2 linked regions of the Canis lupus familiaris genome follow. The protein of the gene in region 2 interacts with the protein of the main gene of each other region in a biochemical or structural test. Links are inferred from orthologs where the notes say so. Each region holds a gene or a part of one and is shown on either strand. Other genes may lie near its edges.

Region 1 (2,980 bases), on a different chromosome or scaffold from region 2:
TAGAGAACAGGCCAAGGAGAAGCAGCAGAGACAGCCAGAGGCCAATGCAGGGCGCACCGTGTCCAGAGTAGATGTGGAAGAGGTAAGAACTTCACATTACCTGAGTCAGGCTGGGCTCCTACTCTCATCTAACCTGATTTGCTCTAGATGAGCAAGGTGCCAGCCAGTCATGCCTTTCTGCTTCAGCACCGGGTAGGAGAGAAAAGGCTAAGCAGGGAGCCAAGGGGCTGGGCTCTCTCTGGGTTTGGCTGGCAGGTGGGTGGGAGGAACCACAGACCAGTGTCCCTGCACCCCTCCAGCCCGTCCTGCTTTGGGGTCTCTAGGCATTGGTGGATCTACAGCTGTACACACAAGCCCAGGCCCGAATCGTGCAGAGCTGGAAAGAGCTGGCCAACTTCGCATGCGCGTTTACAAAGGCGGTGGCCGAAGCGCCTTTCAAGTGAGTGTGTCCCCAGCAAGTCTGGGCTCCGCTGCTGGGCCTTGGGCCATATAGCAGTTCTGGACCCACCTATGGTCTCTTTCCCCTGAACTTTGCCACCAGCCCGTTGTCTGCCAGGCTGGTGGCAGGAGTCAGCCCAGGCTGGGGATGCCTGTGAAGAGCCCTCAAGCCCAGTCCTTTTAAAATGTTCTGCGGTAGCTCATCTGTAAGTTCGTGTTCTGCAGGCTGGTGCTGGGTCACCAGTGAGCCAGGTTACTGGCTATCCCAGGTCAGGTAACGATGTAATAAGCCCTCATAAAACAAGCTTTTAGCCTACTCAGCTGTAGGAGTGTTTGTGGTCAAAATTTAAAATGAGTAGCGGACTTAAAGACAGTCCAGTCTGAGTCCATTTCATGCTTGGGGAATGGAGGCCTGAAGACTGCTTTGTCTGAGGTCCTAGCAAGTTAGAGGAACTGGAACCAGACTCTCAGATTGCCTGACACCTAGCCCCTAGTGGTTGTCCCTGTGCACACTGCCTCTCTAGTCAATACAGCGCAGTTTCAACATGTGAAACTACCTGGTTCTTTTCTGGCACATTGTGTCTTTATGAAAAGGACTTGATATCATTCTTAAGGGACACTGCTTGGGAACAAAATAAGCACTCACATAGACCAGATATGACACTGTGCCTGCCTCTCATGAGGTTGGTGGAGGGGTTTCTAAGTTCCCAGTGAAGGGGACAAGTGGAGTGACAAGTGACTCACAACTCTTCAACTGCTCTTTACAGGAAGTTCCGAGATCAAACTAGTTTTTCCTTCTGCCTGGAGAGTGACTGGGCTGGAGGGGCAAAGGTAGACCGTGCCGGCAGGGGGCTTGCACTGGTCTGGAGGAGGCAGATTCAGCAGCTGAACCGAGTCAGCCTGGAAATGGCCAGTGCCATTGTGGACACCTATCCATCCCCCCAGCTTCTAGTCCAGGTAGGCTGCTCCAGTGGTCACCTCCAACACCCTGTGGCATTAGTGGACTCCCAGGCAGTTTCCGTGGAGGGCACTCGTAGTCAGCACCACGGGCCTGCTGAGATCAGTGAACACAGACCCAGGGAGAGGACAGGTTCTCGTCCCCCCACCCAAGCTTACTGCCCCCTCGTTGATGGACAGGGTGACCCTGGATGATACAGTATTGAGAGGTCATTCACCACTTCCAGGCTTATAGACGGTGTCTTTTGGAGCAAGAACGCCAGAATCTGCTTGCAGACATACAGGTGCGCCGTGGGGAAGGTGTGACATCCACCTGCCGCCGCATTGGACCAGAGCTATCCAGGCGGATCTACCTTCAGATGACCACCCTGCAGCCAGATCTCTCTTTAGACACTGCAGACTGATGCCAGTCCTTGGGGACAGGGATGAAAAGCTGGAGATTTCTACCTCGCCCAGCTCAGAAGAGGACCACAGGAAGAGACTGGAAGCACTTCCTAAAGCACAAGCCTGGTCAGGCTCAAACATACTTCCTGGGTGTCCCATGTCTGCAGCAGTCCCCACCCCACCCCCAACACCTTGAGACAGACAGCTGAGATACTGGTGTTCCCCTTCCCAAGCCCCTAATGTCCCTCTCCCAGTGGAACTTGGCTGCCGTACACAAATCACCCTGCCCTAGCAGCCATCAAGACACAAATGAACAAAGACCGACCACTCAGACACGTATTTAATGATTGTAGAAATCCAGAAGAACCTCAGCTTCAAATCTTGAGATCACAAGTGAACTTCCCTCAGCAGGCTGGCTGGATGGGGCTGAGCATGCCCTGCCTTCCTCTCACCCACTGAGGCCACCTCAGCTGGCCCCTGTGCAGGGGTCTCCTCCCTATGCTAACTTCCCTGCCCTCTTTCATTTTACACACTATGTAGTTTCAATAAAGCATTTGTACCACTGGCTCTGGAGCTTGAAGGAAGACTGAGGAATGTGTAGTGATTCTGAGTAAGGTGTGGGCCATTGCAGCAGAGCTGCCAGGGGAGGGGGTTGGGGTGGGGGGGGAGAGAAATAAGTCACTCCCGGGATGGGGACAGTCACTAGGGGCTGTCCTCTCCAGATGAGCCACTAAGGCTCAGTCAAACCCCGCTCCCTGGCGATTTATGACAAGCTTTTGCTCTCCTGAGGGAGGGACAAGAAGCTTGCAGTTGGGAGTTTTCAGTGATTAAGCACCATGACGACCATTTCTCATTCCTTCATCTGGCTTTTGTGAAAAAAAGGCCAAGGAGGCCACAGAGCAAGAAAAGGCTTAGTCTGGCAGACAAGAGGATGGAGAGTCCTGCCCGTCTGTGCTAGTCGTTCGTAAACGCACCACTTTTAAGCTCCATGGTGCTATTTCCCTTCATTGTGGAGGTGGTTATAGGTCTAGACCTAAACAATTCTAAACCTCCAGCTCTGTGAAAGTTGAGTTTTCAGGTTGCCTCTGTCACACCAGCTACCCACAGCTGTCACAATATGGCTTTGACGGTCCACCTCCTTGTTTACTGGCAAGCGGGGAGTTAATGCTCTAAAAGTGAGGCAAGGAGCCCGGACCATTTT
Region 2 (3,649 bases):
TCGGCCACAGTCGACTACCGCAGCCAGCCCCCCTCCCAAGAGCATCCGGTGGGGTGAGCACATGGTGCTCCAGGTGCTCCAACGGTCTCCTCAGGAGGCTCACAGGGGACTGCCCTGAGCCCCACTGGGTTTTCCTTGGGTTAAATCCAGAAGGCAATGGGCTTTCTCAACGTCGGCATCAGGCCTGGCTTATGCCAACTCATGGATCCCATGGTCAGGGGACCTATGACACCACTGACCCCATCCTCCCATCTTGTTACCTTTGTGAGCTAAAGGAGCTGTCACTGCTGTCCACGGAGGAGGCCACTGATTCCTGGGACACAGGGAGCTGGGTGTCACCATCAGGATCTGGAGACTCCTCCTTTGCCTGTGACAGGTTCATCGGAGGGATGCTTCCACCAGGCTGCTGCTTTTGATTTCGGGGGCCCTTGGTCTTAGTGGACCCCTTGGACCTTTGGAGAAGAGGCCCAGAAGTGGCCCCGAGCTGGGCACGGCCAGCAGCCCTGGAGGTCCTGCTGGTGTGGGTCTGGCTGCACGGAGCCTCTGGGAGCACTTGTGAGGACTGGCTCTCATTCTCAGAGTCTGACTCCAGAGTCTGGTGAGTATACTGGAATATCTCCTTCAGTTTTAGGACCATCTGGCGTTTGGGTAGAGGGCGGACCCCAAACCTGAAATGGGGAAACAGCACAGAGCAGTTATCAGCAAATTAAATAATGACTTTGTGGAACTGAAATCTTAAATGCCTAACTTTTGTGAGCTTTCAGGGGTGTCTATTCTGCATACAACTGAGCTTACTCTGAAGAATATTCCAGAAAAGCCGTTCCCAGGTTTAGCGATGGTGGTAGTGATAACAGCCCTGGTGCCCAAGGTGATGAGCAGTATTGATTGGGATGTGACAGTTTTGATGGTTTTTTAAAAAATCAGATCTTCTTATTCAGGCTCTTAAGGCCAGGGCCCCGTCTCCATCCACATGGCACATGGAGACCTATCAGCTCATGGGGACCTGGAGTCCCATCTCTTAGCTCCTCAGGGAACTGGAGGTTTGGGGAACAGTGTGGGGAAAGACAGCAGTTGCACACGCTCCCATCCCCCAGGGGCTCCTGCTGCCAGAGCCCCACGGCGGGTCCTTCAGCTCCTGGCCTCAGCCAGGATGGACACATGGGAGGGAGTGGACCACCTGTGGGCAAGTTTTCAGGACCACTTACCTATCCAGTTCTTTCTTCAGTACCGGGGTCTCCATGATGGAGTACCTTGGCATTGGGGTGATGGGCACTTTCGGGGGCAAGTTCTTCCGATGAGCACCTTCTAGGTAGAAAAGAAACATGTTTCAGCACGAGGGACCTGGATTTACCTCTTCTGAGCTCAGCAGTATCACCAAGAAAAATACTGCGTTTGAACAAAGCCCAGCCACCGTTCTGCTCCATGAGAGCGGTACCTCCACCGCCCCTTCACCGAGACTCCCGAACTGTCTTCCCATTGGAAGGCATCACACGTGGTTAGGGCCACAGCCTTGTGCAGTGCTGATGCTGTGGAACAGGGCAGAAGCAGATAGATTCATGACTGTTGGGGGCTCAGGAGGAGGGGCACCGAGTGACTGCTAATGGGCAGGGGAAAACATTCTGGGATTAGCTGTGATGGTTGCCCAATACTACTAAGGTAATAAAAAACACTGAACTGTATGGTTTGGTGGTTTTGTGGCTACCATCTGTCACCATGCGCTGCTGTGATACCAACGACTGTAGTCGCCGTGCTGCTCCTTCATTTCCGTGATGGACTCCCCACCCCCCCATTGCAGGACAGTGTCCATGTACTAAAAACCACTGAATGGTGTATTTTAAAGGGTGAATTTTATGGTATGTGAATAATAGCTCAACAAGGCTGTTATTTTAAAAAAAGGAATCAATACTTTAAAGACAAATGAAACAACTCAGGAATATATAGAGTTCGGTTCTTATCCTTTTTAGGAGGATGGAGCCCTCTGAGACTCCAATGAGAATAGGCTTTCTCCCGAATAAAGCACAGAACTCTTTATATAATTTGCGAAAATCTGTCACCTCCTGGAAGCCCACCTCAAATTCAGACCAAGGTCCCTGGTCTCACAGCACCACCTGGGAACTGGTTAGAAATCCAAATTCTTGGTCTCTACTCTGGAGAGGCGCCTGGCCACGTGTGTTGCACAAAGCTCTCCAGGCAGTTCTGATCCCCATTCAAGGCTGGGAGTGCTGGTCAGTCATGCCCAGCTGGTTTTGAATTTGGGGAGGAAATCAAACACCAGGATGCAGGCAGATCCTCTGCCTACAGTCCGCTTCCCTGCGACCAGTCACAGCTTCGTGGCGCCCTGCCCCTTCCCAGCTTTCCCAGGGGCTGCCTGGCAGGGGCTGACACAGGGGCTCTGATAGTCTCTTATAATGACATGAGCTGGGAAAGTGCACCCTCCATGGGCTTGGGGGTGGCAGATGAGGCAGGGCCGAGGCTCACACAGCAGACGCTTCACACTCACCCCACTGGCTGCTGTTTTAATTGAGAAGAAAATTCACATAAAATTTTAAAGTGAACAATTCAGAGGCACTTAGTATACATTCACAATGCAAGCACCACCTCTAGCTCCAAAGCATTTTCATTGTCTCCTAAGGCAGTTCTATACCCAGCACCCTCCTCATTCTCCCCTGATCCCTGCTCCTGGCAACTTCTCACCCACTTTGTCTCCACAGACTGGCTCACCCTGGACATTCCCTATAAACACAGTGACACGCTGTGGTCCTTTGTGCCTCTCTGAGCATCGTGTGTTCAAGGTTCACCCAGGAGCTAACACCTGTTTTACAGCTGACGATCCTCCACCATATGTATGGACCACATTTTCTTTATCCGTTTGTCAGCTGATGGACTTGTGGCTACTGTGAGGACTGCTGCTGCGAAGTCTGTGTAAGGGATCAGTCCTGATTTCCCCTCCTCTGGATGAGCTCCCTGGGGTGGGACTGCTGGGCCGTAATGGCAGCGCTCCGTGTAACCCTGTGAGGAACCACACTTGCCCGATTTTAAGGTGTTTGCCGTGGCCTCTCAGAAGCACTGTCCACAGCTGGGGGTTTTTAGCAAGGGCCCAGGCAAGCCATGGGATCCAGGCAGGTTTAGGAACTGGTTAAGCAACATGTCTGATGGCAAGCCTGTTCTCCCTCTGCAGGGGAGGGTGGGGAGGGGGCTCGCCACAGCCCTGCCACCCCCTCCAGCCCCTTAGCATAAAACGGCCTAACAGACAACCACCCTCCCCGCTACTCACTTGGCGTCTCCAACCCTTCTGATTTCTGAGCAGCAGCAGCATCACTCAGTGTCTGGGCGGGAGGAAGGAGCTCTGAAGACTTCTGTTCCTCTCCATCCCAATTGTCCCACAGAGCTGAGTTCAAAAAGCTTGGCCTGCTGCTCGACGGCACGCTGGCCCGAGGGGACCTCTCTCGGGACTTTCTCTGGCTAGTGCAGCTCCCTCGGGCAGGGGGGGTGCCCAGGAGGGCCGGAGAGCTGCAGCCACTGCTGTCTGGAGCCTCCCCTGCCTTACTGCCCGGACTGCTGGTGCTCAGGGGGCCTGTCTGCTCAAGGTTCAAGCGGTCAATGGGAATGGGTGACAGGGGCTCCACATGCCAATGACACTCGTCCACCG

The links. The genes of interacting proteins can lie anywhere in the genome.
Region 1: the proteins of SLX4 (region 2) and EME1 form a complex in vitro, tested with the Homo sapiens proteins (3 studies listed by BioGRID, with this or other methods). The link is inferred for Canis lupus familiaris from reciprocal best matches to the Homo sapiens genes SLX4 and EME1.

The regions. Positions count from the first base shown.
Region 1 is NC_049230.1:26,299,099-26,302,078, forward strand, and holds the end of EME1 (crossover junction endonuclease EME1), read left to right. Parts: coding exon 1-82; intron 83-323; coding exon 324-439; intron 440-1,205; coding exon 1,206-1,395; intron 1,396-1,622; coding exon 1,623-1,799; 3' UTR 1,800-2,365; downstream 2,366-2,980. UniProt on the Homo sapiens protein: Non-catalytic subunit of the structure-specific, heterodimeric DNA endonuclease MUS81-EME1 which is involved in the maintenance of genome stability. In the complex, EME1 is required for DNA cleavage, participating in DNA recognition and bending.
Region 2 is NC_049227.1:37,963,484-37,967,132, reverse strand, and holds part of SLX4 (structure-specific endonuclease subunit SLX4), read right to left. Parts: coding exon 3,275-3,649; exon of another isoform or gene 2,516-3,274; intron 1,306-2,515; coding exon 1,206-1,305; intron 669-1,205; coding exon 261-668; intron 1-260. UniProt on the Homo sapiens protein: Regulatory subunit that interacts with and increases the activity of different structure-specific endonucleases.